4 linked regions of the Arabidopsis thaliana genome follow. Changing the gene in region 1 together with any one later gene gives a genetic interaction. Each region holds a gene or a part of one and is shown in the gene's direction. Other genes may lie near its edges. The genes, in order: ETR1, THO1, CB5-C and CB5-D.

Region 1 (5,944 bases):
AAACAGTGAAGAACACAGATTCGATAGAGAAGAGAGACTAACCTTGTGGGAAGAAATGAAGAAGAAGAGTAATCCAAAGAAGGATTTAGGATTTTAGGGAGAAAGAAGAGGACAAAGAAGGAGAATTATGGGATTAGAAGTGAAAATTGTAACCACAAGAGTTACTTGTGGACCAGTGTGAGCCAACCATGTCCTAAGTTTTCTTTCTATTTCGATTCTCTGGTCATTATAGTATTGGCCCCACTCTTTCCCTTAATATCAATTTGGTTCAATCCATATATTTTGGTATTGCGATTTTTATTCTTATTTTAAATTGAAGGACCAACACTTATATATAAAGAATATACACCAATCTATTTATTATTAATTAGATTTAATTTGGAAATCCATAAAATTTAATACAGTAAAATCTCTATAAATTAATAATGTTGAGACCACAAAATTCTATTAATTTATAAAGGTATTAATTTATCGATAAATTAATATTTATTAATTTACAGAGAGATTTTCCAAAAGTGGTAATTTTTTTTTTAATTTCTATAAAAATTTAAGATTCATTCCATTATCTAAAATATATTTTTAGAACCAATTACAAATAGAAATAATTATCATGTCTAGAAAACAACAAGAAAAGTTTTTGATAGAGTAAAAATATTAAAATGAAATAAAAAAAAACTTATACAAATTTAAGTAAAAAAAAAACAATATTAAAATTATATTTCTCTGTAATTTATGATATTAATGGGACCCTATGTTTATATAAGATTTTCAAAAAAACTATTATCTTATTAATTTATCGATTTGTATCACTTTTTACAGTGGTTCCAACTCGGGACCGAAAAAATTTATTAATTTATAGAGATTATTAATTTATCGAGTATTAATTTATAGAGGTTTTACTGTATGTATCAAAATTTCGTGTGTTGAGATTTAATACTGATCTTAAAATGAGATTCAGTTCGAGATAGGCTGATTAGAGCCATCATCTTGAAGGTATATATTAAGATTCCATATTGTAAGTTTGAAGTAATCAACACTAGTATATATGAGACATAAACGTTGGTTGAGAATTGAATCGATGAAATTTAGTTTTGTTTGGATTTTGATTTGACTGGTTAAGGTCTTATGTACATTTTTCGGAGGATTGATTTCAAAAAAAACTAATGTAATAATTTTATATAATTGCTTAATATACTTTTGGTTTAGGATCAAATTTCTGGTTAACTCTGATTTAGTTTTGAGGTACTGAAAACCTATATTATGTCAATTTGGAGATATATTACAGTTAACCAGATATAACATTAGTAGTTTGATATATCTCCAAGTTGACATAATATAGCTTTTATTCACATGAACATATTTGTTTGATTCAACTTGTTTTACTTCTCTTACAACTATATAATGTTTTATACAAACGATTATTTACATAAGATTACACTTAAAACTCATAATTTTATATTGGCTAAACATATATATTGCTTAATCTCCAAATGACATTATCATTCTCCTTTTTTGAAATCATACGAATCAATGTAAGGTGAAAGTTAGTGAAAACAATATTTTGCATTTTTTGGTGAAACCATAAAGATAGTATTTGTTGATAAATATGGGGATATTTATCCTATATTATCTGTATTTTTCTTACCATTTTTACTCTATTCCTTTATCTACATTACGTCATTACACTATCATAAGATATTTGAATGAACAAATTCATGCACCCACCAGCTATATTACCCTTTTTTATTAAAAAAAAACATCTGATAATAATAACAAAAAAATTAGAGAAATGACGTCGAAAAAAAAAGTAAGAACGAAGAAGAAGTGTTAAACCCAACCAATTTTGACTTGAAAAAAAGCTTCAACGCTCCCCTTTTCTCCTTCTCCGTCGCTCTCCGCCGCGTCCCAAATCCCCAATTCCTCCTCTTCTCCGATCAATTCTTCCCAAGTAAGCTTCTTCTTCCTCGATTCTCTCCTCAGATTGTTTCGTGACTTCTTTATATATATTCTTCACTTCCACAGTTTTCTTCTGTTGTTGTCGTCGATCTCAAATCATAGAGATTGATTAACCTAATTGGTCTTTATCTAGTGTAATGCATCGTTATTAGGAACTTTAAATTAAGATTTAATCGTTAATTTCATGATTCGGATTCGAATTTTACTGTTCTCGAGACTGAAATATGCAACCTATTTTTTCGTAATCGTTGTGATCGAATTCGATTCTTCAGAATTTATAGCAATTTTGATGCTCATGATCTGTCTACGCTACGTTCTCGTCGTAAATCGAAGTTGATAATGCTATGTGTTTGTTACACAGGTGTGTGTATGTGTGAGAGAGGAACTATAGTGTAAAAAATTCATAATGGAAGTCTGCAATTGTATTGAACCGCAATGGCCAGCGGATGAATTGTTAATGAAATACCAATACATCTCCGATTTCTTCATTGCGATTGCGTATTTTTCGATTCCTCTTGAGTTGATTTACTTTGTGAAGAAATCAGCCGTGTTTCCGTATAGATGGGTACTTGTTCAGTTTGGTGCTTTTATCGTTCTTTGTGGAGCAACTCATCTTATTAACTTATGGACTTTCACTACGCATTCGAGAACCGTGGCGCTTGTGATGACTACCGCGAAGGTGTTAACCGCTGTTGTCTCGTGTGCTACTGCGTTGATGCTTGTTCATATTATTCCTGATCTTTTGAGTGTTAAGACTCGGGAGCTTTTCTTGAAAAATAAAGCTGCTGAGCTCGATAGAGAAATGGGATTGATTCGAACTCAGGAAGAAACCGGAAGGCATGTGAGAATGTTGACTCATGAGATTAGAAGCACTTTAGATAGACATACTATTTTAAAGACTACACTTGTTGAGCTTGGTAGGACATTAGCTTTGGAGGAGTGTGCATTGTGGATGCCTACTAGAACTGGGTTAGAGCTACAGCTTTCTTATACACTTCGTCATCAACATCCCGTGGAGTATACGGTTCCTATTCAATTACCGGTGATTAACCAAGTGTTTGGTACTAGTAGGGCTGTAAAAATATCTCCTAATTCTCCTGTGGCTAGGTTGAGACCTGTTTCTGGGAAATATATGCTAGGGGAGGTGGTCGCTGTGAGGGTTCCGCTTCTCCACCTTTCTAATTTTCAGATTAATGACTGGCCTGAGCTTTCAACAAAGAGATATGCTTTGATGGTTTTGATGCTTCCTTCAGATAGTGCAAGGCAATGGCATGTCCATGAGTTGGAACTCGTTGAAGTCGTCGCTGATCAGGTTTTACATTGCTGAGAATTTCTCTTCTTTGCTATGTTCATGATCTTGTCTATAACTTTTCTTCTCTTATTATAGGTGGCTGTAGCTCTCTCACATGCTGCGATCCTAGAAGAGTCGATGCGAGCTAGGGACCTTCTCATGGAGCAGAATGTTGCTCTTGATCTAGCTAGACGAGAAGCAGAAACAGCAATCCGTGCCCGCAATGATTTCCTAGCGGTTATGAACCATGAAATGCGAACACCGATGCATGCGATTATTGCACTCTCTTCCTTACTCCAAGAAACGGAACTAACCCCTGAACAAAGACTGATGGTGGAAACAATACTTAAAAGTAGTAACCTTTTGGCAACTTTGATGAATGATGTCTTAGATCTTTCAAGGTTAGAAGATGGAAGTCTTCAACTTGAACTTGGGACATTCAATCTTCATACATTATTTAGAGAGGTAACTTTTGAACAGCTCTATGTTTCATAAGTTTATACTATTTGTGTACTTGATTGTCATATTGAATCTTGTTGCAGGTCCTCAATCTGATAAAGCCTATAGCGGTTGTTAAGAAATTACCCATCACACTAAATCTTGCACCAGATTTGCCAGAATTTGTTGTTGGGGATGAGAAACGGCTAATGCAGATAATATTAAATATAGTTGGTAATGCTGTGAAATTCTCCAAACAAGGTAGTATCTCCGTAACCGCTCTTGTCACCAAGTCAGACACACGAGCTGCTGACTTTTTTGTCGTGCCAACTGGGAGTCATTTCTACTTGAGAGTGAAGGTTATTATCTTGTATCTTGGGATCTTATACCATAGCTGAAAGTATTTCTTAGGTCTTAATTTTGATGATTATTCAAATATAGGTAAAAGACTCTGGAGCAGGAATAAATCCTCAAGACATTCCAAAGATTTTCACTAAATTTGCTCAAACACAATCTTTAGCGACGAGAAGCTCGGGTGGTAGTGGGCTTGGCCTCGCCATCTCCAAGAGGTTTGAGCCTTATTAAAAGACGTTTTTTTCCAACTTTTTCTTGTCTTCTGTGTTGTTAAAAGTTTACTCATAAGCGTTTAATATGACAAGGTTTGTGAATCTGATGGAGGGTAACATTTGGATTGAGAGCGATGGTCTTGGAAAAGGATGCACGGCTATCTTTGATGTTAAACTTGGGATCTCAGAACGTTCAAACGAATCTAAACAGTCGGGCATACCGAAAGTTCCAGCCATTCCCCGACATTCAAATTTCACTGGACTTAAGGTTCTTGTCATGGATGAGAACGGGTTAGTATAAGCTTCTCACCTTTCTCTTTGCAAAATCTCTCGCCTTACTTCTTGCAAATGCAGATATTGGCGTTTAGAAAAAACGCAAATTTAATCTTATGAGAAACCGATGATTATTTTGGTTGCAGGGTAAGTAGAATGGTGACGAAGGGACTTCTTGTACACCTTGGGTGCGAAGTGACCACGGTGAGTTCAAACGAGGAGTGTCTCCGAGTTGTGTCCCATGAGCACAAAGTGGTCTTCATGGACGTGTGCATGCCCGGGGTCGAAAACTACCAAATCGCTCTCCGTATTCACGAGAAATTCACAAAACAACGCCACCAACGGCCACTACTTGTGGCACTCAGTGGTAACACTGACAAATCCACAAAAGAGAAATGCATGAGCTTTGGTCTAGACGGTGTGTTGCTCAAACCCGTATCACTAGACAACATAAGAGATGTTCTGTCTGATCTTCTCGAGCCCCGGGTACTGTACGAGGGCATGTAAAGGCGATGGATGCCCCATGCCCCAGAGGAGTAATTCCGCTCCCGCCTTCTTCTCCCGTAAAACATCGGAAGCTGATGTTCTCTGGTTTAATTGTGTACATATCAGAGATTGTCGGAGCGTTTTGGATGATATCTTAAAACAGAAAGGGAATAACAAAATAGAAACTCTAAACCGGTATGTGTCCGTGGCGATTTCGGTTATAGAGGAACAAGATGGTGGTGGTATAATCATACCATTTCAGATTACATGTTTGACTAATGTTGTATCCTTATATATGTAGTTACATTCTTATAAGAATTTGGATCGAGTTATGGATGCTTGTTGCGTGCATGTATGACATTGATGCAGTATTATGGCGTCAGCTTTGCGCCGCTTAGTAGAACAACAACAATGGCGTTACTTAGTTTCTCAATCAACCCGATCTCCAAAACTCATCCATGGCTTCTTCTCCTTCTCCTCCAAAACTAATCCAAATCCAAACAAACAACAACAAATCCTCATCGACTACATCTCCAAATCCCTCCAATCCAACGATACCTGGGAAACTCTCTCCACCAAATTCTCCTCCATAGATCTATCAGATTCCTTAATCGAAACAATCCTTCTCCGATTCAAAAACCCCGAAACCGCCAAACAAGCTTTATCCTTCTTCCATTGGTCATCCCACACTCGAAATCTCCGTCACGGAATCAAATCTTACGCATTGACGATTCATATCCTTGTCAAAGCTCGATTACTAATCGACGCTCGAGCTTTAATTGAATCGTCTCTGTTAAATTCTCCTCCCGATTCGGATTTAGTCGATTCGTTGTTAGATACTTATGAGATCTCATCTTCTACTCCTTTAGTGTTTGATTTGTTAGTTCAATGTTACGCTAAGATTAGGTATTTGGAATTAGGGTTTGATGTGTTC
Region 2 (6,598 bases), on another chromosome or scaffold:
TACTCCTTCTTCATCTTCCTCCTCCGTCTCCTCGTGAACCCTCCCATTATTAACCCTACCAATCGCCGCCTCCGTAACGTTACCACCGCCGCCAAAATCGCAGTTTCTACACTTGTTAGCCATCGACGTAGCGTAGAGACGCTCGACGATGTTATCTCTCCGACGTTTCAGTTCTTGACCATAGTCAAGAGACGCAACAAGAATCGCCGTATCGATAAATGTCCAAACATCAACACCTGCGTTATCCATAACCGATCGGAAATCATCCAAATCCATTATCACCCACACTCCTCCTTCTTCCCCAAATTTGGTTACTTAATAAAGAATTCAAAACGAAAAACAAAAAACAGAGCAAATCGAATTACGTAACCAGATCTAAAAGATGAATCTTTTGATGAATTTGATTCATCGGAGATTAAAAATCGTGAAGAACCAAACAAAGTTTAGATTTCAAATAGTTTAAAAGATAGACAAATAAAAAAAACAAAAAACAGAAGAATCAGATTGGTAAATTCAGATTAAAAAGGAAGACCCTTTACTGTTACGAGGAAGAAAGAAACAGAGGAGGTCGTCTCACATAAGATCAATAATGAGTAAATGGCAAATTAAAAAAAAAAAAGGGAATGAAGAAGAAAGGGAATATTCCAAATTTGAGGCTTTAGAATTTGGTTTGGAGGGTTATTGCTTTTTCTTTCATTCTTCTGCAAGTTTTTTTTTGTTTGGTCCGTTAATAAAAATAATATTCAGACAGAATCAATTAACAGTTTTAGGACAAAAGTAAAAGAAGAAAATGGGAATTGCTTTATTGAGGGATGATGCTCTTTGCCCTGGACAGAGCAAAGCTAAGCAAGTTGGTTTGTTGTGGTTGGGGAGATGAACAGCTCTAGAGAGAGAGAGAGAGAGATGTGAGTGTTTTTCTTTCAATAATGGCGTTTACTTTTTTTAGTTTTTCTTCAAGTGACGAGAAACATTTTACATGTTTCGACTTTTTTGGTTATTGGGCCTCTAAATTTTTGGCCCTATAGCAAGTGGACCCAATATGTCAAATCAATATTTTCATTTGGTCTCAAAGTGTTTGTTTCATGACTTTCATCTCATGAGCCACTGCCACTCACTAATCGTTTAGTGAATTTACGTCGACGGTACAATCAAAACCCCCAAAGAGAAGATCACATCCGAGTTTTTAGGTGTTGAAGGAGGTGTTCGATCCATCAAAGTTTACTTTGTTAGGAAGTAATGTTTATTTATCACTTGTTGAGTGTAGATTATGAATACAATGTCTTTTATGCAATTATTGGAACCTAATATTTATCTCGAACAATTTCGAGCAATTTTTGAAATCTTCAAATCCTTCTCATGTGAGCTATTATGATTTCTTCTGCAATAACATACCATGAACAATTTCGAGCAATTTTTGAATACAGATGTTTTAAATTTCTAATTGATTTGATTCCACACATTAAAACTACGCCATATCCAACATATACAGGCAAAGGTCTTCTGTAAAACTAAATAATGTGAAGCCCACCACCCAACGGATATCATTTTACTATGAAAGGCCCAATGAACATGTTGTTATTCAGTTTATAAATTAAAAATATTTCGGATCCAGATCCAAGCCCGGATATTTGCGGATAATTTGATTGTTGGGAGGATATCTTCCGGATCCGGATCCACCCTAAATTAAAATTGTTCTTCCTCCACTCTTCTTCAAGTTTGGCCTCCGTTTCCAGATTTTTATTCAATTCTTCTTAATCAACTTTTAAAATCCGGCGACTCATAGTCCGTGAATTTTGACCGGCATATCCGGTTTTGGTGTCGTCGGTAAATTCCTCTTCATTGCAGTGGAAGCTGGTTCATTGAGAAATAATGGTAACTCTTTTGGGATTATGAGACTTGTTTTCTTTTGCTTCTTGTTAAATCTATATAGCTTATAAAAACTTGTTTTCTGCAATTTGTGGTTCTTCGCAGGATGCATTTAGAGATGCTATATTGCAGCGAGCTCCAATTGAAACCTTTGCACTCAAGACTGTTCAACACTTTATACAACCTCAGGTAACTCTTTCGAATCAACTAACAATTTCTTCACTCCTTTAGTCTTACTTATTGTCTTTATTGTAAAATTTGACAGAAACAAACAAAGTTGGCTCAAGATGAAAACCAAATGCTTGAAAACATGCTCCGGACATTGCTGCAGGAGCTAGTGGTCTCTTCTTTCTCCACTATTATATTTTCGTGGTATGCGTATATACTTGTTCATTTATATATGTGTGGATTTCTCTTTCTGTTTTCGGGGTTTCAGGCTGCTGCTGCGCAATCAGGGGAGCAAATTATGCAGTATGGTCAGTTGATTGACGATGATGATGATGATGATGATATACATGGACAGATTCCTCATCTTCTAGGTTAGCAATCTCTCTAGTCTGATTTGCATAGTTCGTTCAAACAAGTGCTAGCGTTGTCCCCGTAAAACTTCTTATTCTCTTGTTGTCTATTGCTTATCATCTTGTCCTCACTACTTTTGTCTAACCTCTCACCATCTTCATGTTTTGATTGCTTTGTTAGATGTTGTGCTTTATCTTTGTGAGAAAGAGCATGTAGAAGGTGGCATGATATTCCAGCTGCTGGAGGATTTGACCGAAATGTCTACTATGAAAAACTGTAAAGATGTTTTCGGTTATATTGAAAGCAAACAAGATATATTGGGCAAGGTATTTCTTAAACGAAATCAAATTTTTTCTCGGTTAGTTGTATCTTGTATTTTGACTTGGATGTTGCAATTATTTGCAGCAAGAGCTTTTTGCACGCGGAAAACTTGTCATGTTGAGGACTTGCAACCAACTTCTCCGCCGACTCTCAAAGGTTCGCTATCTGCACCCTTTTCTAGTTCCCTTTGTCAAATATCCATAAGTCATAATCTACTTTTTCATATATAACACATCCACTCTTTTTTAATTCTTTTTTTTGCTTTCACTATTTGGCATACAGGCCAATGATGTTGTATTCTGTGGAAGGATTCTTATGTTTTTGGCTCACTTTTTTCCGTTATCTGAGCGCTCAGGTAAGAAGGGTTTCTCGTGCATATACGATTATTTGGTATGTGAATGTTTAAAAGGTGTGTAACGTTTACTTGCGTGACTTATTCTTTCAGCCGTCAATATAAAAGGTGTTTTTAATACATCTAATGAAACCAAATATGAAAAAGATCCTCCAAAAGGCAAGTGATTTTTTTTTTTCTTATGCTTTTGGTCCTTATCTCCATATGACAATTCTAAAACGTGTTACTTATTCTGTCTATGTCATTGCTTCTCAGGCATTTCTGTAGATTTCAACTTCTACAAGACATTTTGGAGTTTACAGGTGCGTATTAGTTAAAGGAACTTTGTAGGGAACGAATGTTATGCCTTTATCATAAGGGTTGTCTCATAGAACCTCTGTTTGCATATCATGCAAAATCAACATTACTGGAGATAGCATCTCAAATTTCCTTTTGTTAGTTAGTTTATTGAGATAGTTCTTTTCTTACTGAGAAAATTGTTTCGTTTCCAGGAGTATTTCTGTAATCCCGCTTCTCTTACTTCCGCATCTACCAAGTGGCAGAAATTTTCATCCAGTTTGGCGGTATGTGATCTTTGGTTTTTGACTAAATTGCATTACCTGGTCTTGTATATATGTATATGCATAGAAAATTCATGCTGGCGGTAGTGAGAAATCATCTTAGACCTTGTTTCTTGAACTGCTTATGTAGGTTGTTTTAAACACCTTTGATGCTCAACCACTAAGCGAAGAAGAGGGAGAGGCTAATAGTTTGGAGGAAGAGGCAGCAACTTTTAATATAAAGTACCTAACAAGTAGTAAATTGATGGGTTTAGAGGTAAGTATGCTGTGGTTGGACATGCGCACTTCTGAACTTAGCAGTTCACTCACTTTTTTTTCTACCTTTCGCCACAGTTAAAGGATTCGAGTTTCCGACGACATATTCTTCTCCAGTGCCTCATTATGTTTGATTATCTAAGGGTAAATGTCTCTCAAGAATTATTGCACGGAAATTACTCTCTCTGGTATTCTGGTATAACTGAATCCTGTTTCCGTTTAGGCACCAGGGAAGAACGACAAAGATCTGCCATCTGAAACCATGGTCAGTGTTTTTTCTTGTTTAATGAGAAAATTCCTCTTGCTTTCTTTCAAAGGTTCACAAACCTAGTTATATCTCAGTATTCAGGGTTTTATGCATAATTACTCAAAGGTATTGTTTATCTTTTCGGTCTAGAAGGAAGAACTTAAGTCATGTGAGGATCGTGTAAAGAAATTGCTTGAGATCACTCCGCCTAAAGGGAAAGAATTCCTCCGTGCAGTTGAGCATATACTGGAGCGCGAAAAGAATTGGGTATGTGTGCTGCTTTCTCTCTTACCTGCTGCATGATTTTCTGGCTTGTAGTTGAGGGCCGTTAATGATCTTCTACAATACACAAATAACAGGTCTGGTGGAAACGTGATGGATGTCCACCATTTGAAAAGCAACCGATAGATAAGAAATCACCTAATGCAGGGCAAAAGAAACGGTATGGGGAAAAGCTGACCTTGTAATCTAACTGCTTTGTACTCATAGATGGTGTCCGCCATTCGAATTTAGAATACATTACGTGGAAGAAATTGAGAAGATGTTTTTTCCCTAGTGATCTCTGGTCGCTAGTCCATTAAAGTGAGAAACAACTAATAAATCTGCATTACGAGTATTAGGCTCAATATGGGTTATCTTTTGCTTTTACAGGAGACAAAGATGGAGATTGGGAAATAAAGAACTCTCCCAACTTTGGAGATGGGCAGATCAAAATCCGGTATGCATTATTTTTCTTTGCATCCTTGTTCGTTGTTCATATTATGCCACATGCTTCTCCAGCTCTCCTCTCGGCTCAATCTTCATATTACGACTCTACAATAATTGTATATCTGATGGGATAACAGAATGCTTTGACTGATTCTCAACGCGTGCGAACCCCTGATATTGCAGACTACTGGAAACCATTAGCAGAAGATGTGAGCTAACATACTGTTTTCTTTATTTTTCCCAAAGGACATCTTAAAAAAAATGGTTGATGTCTTATTAGCACACCTGATGTTTTGTTAAAATCTCAGATGGATCCATCAGCTGGCATAGAAGATGAGTACCATCATAAAAACAACAGAGTATATAACTTTCCTCTGATTTACAACTTTTTTTTTTATGATGCTTAATTGAATCAGTCTAAGGCAGATAATTGTTACTGTTTTGATAGGTTTACTGCTGGAAAGGTCTTCGGTTTACAGCTCGGCAAGACCTTGAAGGATTTTCTAGGGTAAAATTTTCTTCGATTTCGATTTCCCAATGCTTCATATGATTGCTTTTTAAAACCTTTTTCTTTCTTTTTCACAGTTTACTGAAATGGGAATCGAAGGAGTTGTCCCAGTTGAACTATTGCCGCCTGAGGTCCGGTCCAAATACCAAGCTAAACCAAACGAAAAAGCCAAACGAGCGAAGAAAGAAGAAACCAAAGGTGGATCTCATGAAACAGAGGGAAACCAGATTGGTGTTTCTAATAGTGAAGCTGAAGCTGAAGGAGGAAGGGGTGATGCAGAGACGATGGAGAGTGATGCTATTGCAGACACTCCTACGCCTGAGGAACAGCAAAGACTCGGTGGTTCTGATACAGAAAACGGTCAAGAGGCCGGTCAAATCGAAGACGGAGAGACAGAAGAAGCTGGTCTGATGGACACTGATCTTGATCATCCTCCTATGCCCGTCTCATGAATACGCTTTCAGTTTGTCGACCCTTTCTTCAATGGGGAATCCTTTGGATATGAAGTTCAAAAGTATTGATGTTTAACAAATTATGTTAAAAGGTATTTTCTAAATATGTTTGTATGAGTGCAAATCTGCTAGCTTATTACCTGTCTTTCCATTTCTATATACTCAACAAAATCATCATACAATTAAGTTCTTTTGCGTAATTTATCGTCTAAGTGTAACACTAGACACATATTCGCAGCTAATAAACATTGGATTCAATTGCAATCCACTAAAAATACACTCAAACAAACAAAAAAATCAAATACTTGAGGAACCAAAAGCTAAAAGTGTTACTATTATAGCTATCAACATAAACTTTATGTTTTGCCATCAATATTTATTTAGAATATAAATGAGTGGTTTTTAAGTCGTGTCACGATTTTTAAAGTCCATAAACACCACCGATCTCCATATAATAATAAGGTTTCATCATATGCCAAATCCAATAATACGTGAAACTATACCAGTTCATTGTAGGCTTATTTGGTTATATTATTACTACCTCCAATCATTGAAAATGTATATACTTTGTTTAGTCGTTATCACTTGTCAATGCATATCAAATCACCTTATAAATTTACCCAAATTCACTATTGAATTGTTGATGCACTGTCACATAAGATCACAGTTGTCTTATAGTCGTCGCACTGTTATGACAAAAAAAGTGTCGACTCATATTGAAACAAAAAAAAGACTAAACAATGTTGGCACAGCGATGCGATAAAGAATCGACCAAGAGACAACCGAGTGATTTGTGTTGTCAACGACAAA
Region 3 (3,799 bases), on another chromosome or scaffold:
AATAAGTTTTATGATCATCATGAAGATGTCGGGGTACGTATTCTAATCAGTTCTATTGAGTACATTTTTATGATCCTCGGGTTGATTTACCAATAGAGAAGATTATATAGACATATGACATGCATATGCTTCAATTGTTCGTGTGCGTTTACGTTGATTTGATTAGTATATTCAAATGAATCCAAAATTTTAAAATCTTTAAACTAGTTTAATTGTTATTGTAGAAATAAGTTAACTAAAATGGAAGGATTATACGTTCACTAATCTACAAAAATTTGGGTTTTCTTTCAAAATATGACTTTAAAGACATATAAATGCAGAAATTGCATTTGAGTCAATCGAGATCGTCATTTTTTTTTCTGTCGACAATTAAGGCCATTATACGCAAAGAAATAAGTACATAAAATAAGTACATAAAATTATATCTTCTTGACTCTTGATATTGAATTTCTTGAGATCTTTCGTATTAGAATCTGTACGTACAGGCCGATACTGATCACTTTGGCTCGATCAAAACCGCTGAAACGCCAGCTGTCACGGCGGCAGCCGAGGCCGAGATAGAGCCACAGAAGAAGAGGACAACACTTGCGGAGCTTTTCATGGAGGACCACGACAAAGGTTATGACACGTGGCATTGCAAGAAACCCAATAACCCTAATCTTGACGGTGAGGAGGTTAAGTACTATAAACAAAACGGTTCAAAACTAAGCAAGAGGTTCTCGTTTGTTAAGAAGAAGCTGGTCATGTCAAAGTCCAAAGAGGAAGAAAACGACTTACGTCCAATCAAGAAAATGCGTCAGGTATTTAAATTTGTTTTAGTCAATTCCGTAACTATGAAACATTGATGATGATGGATATATGAACATGTTACATGTGCCTCTATAGCTCAAGGGAAACAATGTCACGTCAAGATCTAGATAATTATTCGTGCATGTTACAATTACATCACTTTTGTTGCTTCATAAGTGTACTCATATGTGAGTAAATATTCATTCGATGTCAACAAGTATAGCATCATTATATATGTGTATATATTACTGTAGATGATAAAGAGGATGTTGAAGAAGAAGATCCATCCAGATGTCGATGCAACTAAGGCTTTAAAGAAGGACGTTCCATACAAGCCAACTCGGAACTGTGAAGCTCTCGAGTCACATTATCTTCTTAAAATTCAAGGTTTGTATTTCTTAATTATTTTGGTTTAGGGGTTCGATATGATTTATTTCTTTCATTTGCTCGTATATATATGCTTTGTGGACAGATTGCGTGGCCTAGAAGTCTAAGAACGACGACATCGTACAAGAGCAATCTCTGGATCTATTGTTCTACTCCCTATAATATATGTGATTTTTTTGTTCTTATTTCAGAATGTGTTGGTATTGTTATGACTGTTGAGATGTATTGCTTTCTTCTTACAAACATTACTAAGTTGTTAGTATTTGTTCCTGTTATGCATATTGTATTTTATTACTATGTCATATGTTTTCTTATTTATACGTATATCAATGCATCGTTCTAAAATCGTGGATTGTCGTGAATCTGTGATAGTATTCCATCATGTCTGCTATAGCTTGGTCAGTTTTGAAGAAATTTCAAACCTAAAGTCATAAACTGATAAAGGACTAAATTATCCTACTCAAAACAGAAAGCCCTTTTGTGCGTTATTGGGCCTAATCAGAAAAGTGATTTTGAAAAAGGGCCTAATCAGAAAAGTGATTTTGAGGCTTTTTAAAAGTTTAAAGTAAACAAAAGAAAATTGAGGCTTGACTTTTCTTTCTTTTTTTGACTTGTTTTCTTTTTTCCTTTTTCTTATAAGAGAAAACTAAAACGTGAAAGAGCTTCACCAACCTGAGGTCGCTGACCACTTGGAGGCATTCTCAGCTACCAATCCATTAACTTACAAACTCCATATTCTTCACGTTTTACTATGGTAGGTACCTTTTTTTAACCTTGTTCGTAATAACAATTTTATACGAAAAGAATAGTATTAAACTTCAACAAAAACAACTATGTATATTAACTGGTCAGATATACATTGCTTTGTTCCCTTACATCTTCAAAGAGCTAAGATTAAACTATTTACCCCAAATAAGACTGTAATTTCATCAAAATCTAGTAATAATAATATTCAACAGCTTACAATATAAACATAACGCGTGTGGTCTCCATAAGCTACGCACTGTCTTTTCATCGGTTCGTAGAAACTAGAAACTCTTCCCCTCACGATCTTGCTTTCTTTATTTTGCTTCAACCCTAGTTTATTTGAAGTCTCTATATAAAGTTCTCTGTTTCAAGTTACTTTCTCAGCACGAGCAACCAAAAGTAATCATATGGCGAATCTAATTTCGTTTCACGATGTGGCTAAACATAAGTGCAAGAACGATTGTTGGATTCTCATCCATGGAAAGGTCCATATTTCTACTTTCTTTAAATCACGTAAACAAATTTATAGATTATAAATGCTCTGTTTTTTTAGCTTTATACTTGTTTCTAAACACATGTTTATCCACAGGTCTATGACATCAGCACTTTCATGGACGAACATCCCGGAGGTGACAATGTTCTCCTCGCCGTCACCGGTACGTACGAGTACGAGTTGGTTTATTCCGGTTTAGTTTGAATTTATCGGTTTGTAATTTTGTGAGTTTTTATGAAAATTTAAAGGGAAAGACGCGTCGATCGATTTCGAAGATGTGAACCATAGCAAAGATGCCAAGGAGCTAATGAAGAAATACTGTATCGGTGACGTTGACCAGTCAACGGTTCCGGTGACGCAACAGTATATTCCGCCGTGGGAGAAGGAATCTACGGCGGCGGAAACAACTAAAGAAGAATCTGGAAAGAAGCTGCTTATCTACTTAATTCCTCTCTTGATACTCGGCGTTGCTTTCGCTCTCAGATTCTACAACAACAAGTAGACCAAATTATGATGAACAGATTGATAAGAGTTTCTTACTGTTCTTGGTTTTCGTTTGTTGGTAATAACGGGCTTCTTATGTGAAGATTTGGGCCATTTGGCCCATCGCTCAGAATTGGACTATAATGTCTTATTTATTTTATGTTAATGGGCCGTATCAGTAGGCCCTTTGTTGATATATGCCAATCCCAATTTCTTCTAGCATGAGCTTTGTGTTATTTACTTGATTTTGATAAAACAACCAACTTATGCAGTAGATTCCATTTGACGAAAAAAAATAAAAATAAAAATGCAGTAGATTCCATTAAATTCGTACTTAATAATAAAAATGGGTGAGGGCATACTTACAAAGAAGGAATGTGTGTCAGTGTGTGTCAAAAATATGACACAGACACAGAATTATTTTTAGCAAAAACGTTCCACATAATTTCAACCTTTATACTGTCGGTTATTTTTTGCCACTTTAAAGACACAGAATTCAATGTGTCATAAAAAAGGACACAAAGAAATGAAGAATGTTGGTTTTTAATTTACTAATTCGAGAGGGGATTTATTAATCAAATTTCGAAATGTAATGTTAGTATTTCTATATTATATTACTAGAAGACGATTAAAAATATGAGAATATTTTTCTTAAGTAAAGTTTTTTTTTCTTTTTTAAACCGTGTAATGTTAATTGTTTGGTAAAACAAACCAAACATTCGTGTTTCTATGCAACTTATTAAACAAGTGATTGTTATTATATATAATAAAAAAAAACGTTTCCGGAGTGATAGTAGACTTGCAAAGATCGTTCACCAGAATCTTGGAAACTAAATTTTATAGTTTAATATCCTGTTGCGTTTTTTTTTTTTTTTTTAATTTATCCTGTTGCAGTCTTGA
Region 4 (3,372 bases), on another chromosome or scaffold:
AAACTGTGAAATCTTATCTCGAACCCAATCATTGTTCTATGTTTTTCTTTAATCTCTAAAAGTGAAAAAGTGAATGCATGAAACGTTCAGATACATTCATTATATTATACATTTATACATATGGACATGGTGTACGTATGTACACGGGTGCTTGTTTGATCACGGGCTCACTGACTATAAAAATCATGTTTTTTGGGACATATAGATTCGCTTACATCAACTGTGTGACCAATGGGGTATCTGAATTCAGCTTGTTCGATGTTTTGTTTGACTCTTTTAAACTATTTGGTAGTAAAAAGCCAAAAAGGAAGAGCACTGATTACGAAAGCCTTTTTGTCTTTTTGTTTCTTCTTCTCTAGCTCTCTTTCGTTCTCCTTTTGGGTTAGTCCTTCAAAATAAATGTCTTTAACTTGTCATGTATAGTTTCTTTCTCTCGTTGAACACCAACCATAGGCCTTGCAATGTGAGTCAAAACATGCATTGAAAAAAGAAGTGAATTTCAACATTAAATGCTCTCGTTTAACATGCCTATGGTTCCATTAAGCAAAGTACACACTCTATATATGTCGAAAGAACTATACAGTCGGTGTTTTAGCCCTATAGTTAGATACATTCGAACTGATTACAGAAATATCAAATATCCAGTTCTAAGATCGGATTAAGGCAAATACATTTAAACTACTTCTAGCGAATGAGGTTCACATAGAAAAACTTTTTAAAATGAATCACTAAACAAGATTCATTTTCTTTCTAAATAGTGTAAAGACGAGTGATGCATGCAACTGCTCTCCTTTCCGTTGGTCCCTTGTCAAAATATACGACCGTGAATAATTCTTCCCATCATATTTATCTGTCGGAGAGTTCCAACCTCAAAACATTCTCCTTCTCTTATCAATTCTTTCTAAAATCATAAACCAACAAACTGGGCCTATGATCAATTATTCATATTCAATTTAGCCTATAACTAAAACCACACTGCTTTCGTTACACTGGCCTTCCGACAAGTCTCTTTGACTGTTTTTATCTTAAGCGCCATCAAGTTTTAAAGAAGACAACCCCATATCTTTCCTCCCATGAATCATCGTGTCCATATTGCTATAGTTCATGAAAAAACTAAATACTATCGACAACTGAAGAAAAGATCCGGATCTTGTGGACCGAGTGAATGGTTGGGCCCAATTAGAATGGTCTACCCTAACATCTAGCCGTCTACACGATTGATCATACGTCTAAGAGGGCGAAACCACCAAACGTTTGGATTTTATCTAAATTGATGTACATAAAGCTAACATGATTTTAGTATAAACATTATAAGCATCATGGAAATCAATAAGCTAACATGATTTTAGTAGAAACATTATCAGCTAACATGAATTACTAAAAACATTTATTTTATTTTAAGGAAAAACATACAATACTAAGATTTTTTATAACATTTTTTCTTTGTAACATTATAAATTGTTTTAGTTTCTACATTAATTAAATATATAAAATAAATTCATTTAAATAATATAAGAAAACGGAATCTTTGATTAACTGCTGATTATTGGCCACTGATTAATTTCCGACCCCATCAATAGATGAGATCAGACATACACAACTTAAGTAGACCAAAAAAGCGGTTGGTGTAAGATCCCAAACTCACAGATTCCCAAATAATAGTAATACTCTTCCTCTTCTCAACTCTCACCAGTCACCAGCAGATCATCGGAGATGGGCGGAGACGGAAAAGTTTTCACCTTGTCCGAGGTTTCTCAGCACAGTAGCGCCAAGGATTGTTGGATCGTCATCGACGGCAAGGTCCTACATCTCCGATCCCAGTTTCTCATTCGATTTTCCGTTTTCCCTTAGATTTTGCATCTTATCTTCGTGAGATCCGAAATTCTTGAGTTGTGTTGACTTGGATTTATAAATCTAGAGTTATGTAGTAACAAGTTTGGGGATAGATCTGATCTGATTTGCTAGATTAATGTTACTTTTCTAAGTCTAAATCACAGAGAAATTGCTAAAAACTTACGTCTTTATAATTGAATGTGATAGTTGGTGCTGCTTAAGATGTCTCTGTGTGATCTTGTATCTGTAGTTAAAGCTAGTAAGGTTCATGTAGTTCATGTATGTTCTGATGTATGAACTTTTGATAACCCACTTAATCTAGGTCTCTGATTGTGTGGAATTAGGGACTTATATGACAAAGTTTACATTTTTTGTGTGTTTCATTTTGATGGTTATATATAGGTTTATGATGTGACAAAGTTCTTGGATGATCATCCTGGTGGTGATGAGGTTATCTTGACTTCTACAGGTAACATATAGAGATCACTTTCTCTGTTTGTTAGTTCATGTTTATGTTAACAAGAATGTGTTGTTGGTATTCAGGGAAAGATGCGACCGATGATTTCGAGGATGTGGGACATAGTTCGACTGCGAAAGCCATGCTAGATGAGTACTATGTGGGTGATATTGACACAGCTACTGTGCCGGTTAAAGCTAAGTTTGTGCCTCCTACGTCGACGAAAGCCGTGGCTACTCAGGATAAGAGCTCGGATTTTGTTATTAAGCTCCTTCAGTTCCTTGTTCCACTTCTAATCTTAGGCTTGGCTTTCGGCATTCGGTACTACACTAAGACCAAGGCTCCTTCTTCTTGAAAGATTGAATTGTGGCCTAAGTGAATTGCTTGTGTACGACGTGGTTAAACTCTGTCTCTACCTCTGTTTGTCTTGTAAGACATCATTATATTCTCTATTCCAATCAACTGATAGACCTTTGATTTTTAAGCCATCTACCTTTGTTGTCTTATATCAATCAAATCCATTTACAATATCACTCACACACCAGTCTCAAGTCTCACTTAAAAAGCAGCAACAGGTAAGAGAAAATGATAAACACTGAGCTAATCTGTGCTTGCGCAAGTTCTCTCCATCAGTACCTTTGAATCTGTTCTGAAAGACTGCTTTGATGGAGAGCTTGATCCTCTTGAAGAGCTATGCCCAAAGAAGCTAAGTTTCCCCATTTTCTTTGAGAAACTGCTCATGAATTTGCGCGAATGAGACCTCTGCATATCTCTCTTCATACATATATGTTCTTTCTCTAGGTCGTTGAGTCTCATTCTCAACCTAGCTAACTCGAGCTTCAGTTCTCGGTTTTCTCTCCTCAGAGACGCATAGTTGTCTTTGGGGGACATTGTTGCACTGAGAGCTCCGCTATTGATTCTCCATGACTGCTGTTGTTGCTGCTTTGGCTTTGGCTCTTCGTCTGAGTAAGAAGAGCACAAGGAGCTTCGAAGCTTGAGTTGCTCAAAGTAGAGAACTTGAACTATGGATTGCAGAGGAAGCCGCTCGTTTTGTGCAGCGTGTGCTCCAGCTTCTTGTGAGA

The links.
Region 2: of ETR1 (region 1) and THO1, changing one suppresses a phenotype caused by changing the other (phenotypic suppression), as found in Arabidopsis thaliana (one study listed by BioGRID).
Region 3: of ETR1 (region 1) and CB5-C, changing one suppresses a phenotype caused by changing the other (phenotypic suppression), as found in Arabidopsis thaliana (one study listed by BioGRID).
Region 4: of ETR1 (region 1) and CB5-D, changing one suppresses a phenotype caused by changing the other (phenotypic suppression), as found in Arabidopsis thaliana (one study listed by BioGRID).

The regions. Positions count from the first base shown.
Region 1 is NC_003070.9:24,732,336-24,738,279, forward strand, and holds ETR1 (Signal transduction histidine kinase, hybrid-type, ethylene sensor), read left to right. Parts: upstream 1-1,826; 5' UTR 1,827-1,948; intron 1,949-2,317; 5' UTR 2,318-2,362; coding exon 2,363-3,268; intron 3,269-3,343; coding exon 3,344-3,712; intron 3,713-3,789; coding exon 3,790-4,044; intron 4,045-4,126; coding exon 4,127-4,254; intron 4,255-4,344; coding exon 4,345-4,542; intron 4,543-4,670; coding exon 4,671-5,031; 3' UTR 5,032-5,383; downstream 5,384-5,944. Other genes in the region: AT1G66345 (Pentatricopeptide repeat (PPR) superfamily protein), read left to right, coding at 5,384-5,944. UniProt on the Arabidopsis thaliana protein: Ethylene receptor related to bacterial two-component regulators. Acts as a redundant negative regulator of ethylene signaling.
Region 2 is NC_003076.8:3,064,946-3,071,543, forward strand, and holds THO1 (nuclear matrix protein-like protein), read left to right. Parts: upstream 1-1,632; 5' UTR 1,633-1,869; coding exon 1,870-1,872; intron 1,873-1,971; coding exon 1,972-2,055; intron 2,056-2,131; coding exon 2,132-2,206; intron 2,207-2,302; coding exon 2,303-2,405; intron 2,406-2,565; coding exon 2,566-2,711; intron 2,712-2,790; coding exon 2,791-2,862; intron 2,863-2,988; coding exon 2,989-3,061; intron 3,062-3,151; coding exon 3,152-3,217; intron 3,218-3,313; coding exon 3,314-3,360; intron 3,361-3,549; coding exon 3,550-3,621; intron 3,622-3,748; coding exon 3,749-3,874; intron 3,875-3,951; coding exon 3,952-4,017; intron 4,018-4,096; coding exon 4,097-4,138; intron 4,139-4,270; coding exon 4,271-4,387; intron 4,388-4,479; coding exon 4,480-4,562; intron 4,563-4,771; coding exon 4,772-4,838; intron 4,839-4,965; coding exon 4,966-5,037; intron 5,038-5,136; coding exon 5,137-5,187; intron 5,188-5,276; coding exon 5,277-5,336; intron 5,337-5,413; and 3 more. Other genes in the region: AT5G09850 (Transcription elongation factor (TFIIS) family protein), read right to left, coding at 1-276. UniProt on the Arabidopsis thaliana protein: Acts as a component of the THO subcomplex of the TREX complex which is thought to couple mRNA transcription, processing and nuclear export. Contributes to the integrity of the endogenous trans-acting small interfering RNA (ta-siRNA) pathway.
Region 3 is NC_003071.7:19,149,477-19,153,275, forward strand, and holds CB5-C (cytochrome B5), read left to right. Parts: upstream 1-2,004; 5' UTR 2,005-2,330; coding exon 2,331-2,408; intron 2,409-2,512; coding exon 2,513-2,579; intron 2,580-2,664; coding exon 2,665-2,918; 3' UTR 2,919-3,263; downstream 3,264-3,799. Other genes in the region: AT2G46640 (NAD-dependent protein deacetylase HST1-like protein), read left to right, coding at 1-33, 471-800, 1,044-1,205. UniProt on the Arabidopsis thaliana protein: Membrane bound hemoprotein which function as an electron carrier for several membrane bound oxygenases, including fatty acid desaturases.
Region 4 is NC_003076.8:19,788,522-19,791,893, reverse strand, and holds CB5-D (cytochrome B5), read left to right. Parts: upstream 1-1,521; 5' UTR 1,522-1,713; coding exon 1,714-1,800; exon of another isoform or gene 1,801-2,235; coding exon 2,236-2,302; intron 2,303-2,376; coding exon 2,377-2,645; 3' UTR 2,646-2,827; downstream 2,828-3,372. Other genes in the region: AT5G48800 (Phototropic-responsive NPH3 family protein), read right to left, coding at 2,891-3,372. UniProt on the Arabidopsis thaliana protein: Membrane bound hemoprotein which function as an electron carrier for several membrane bound oxygenases, including fatty acid desaturases.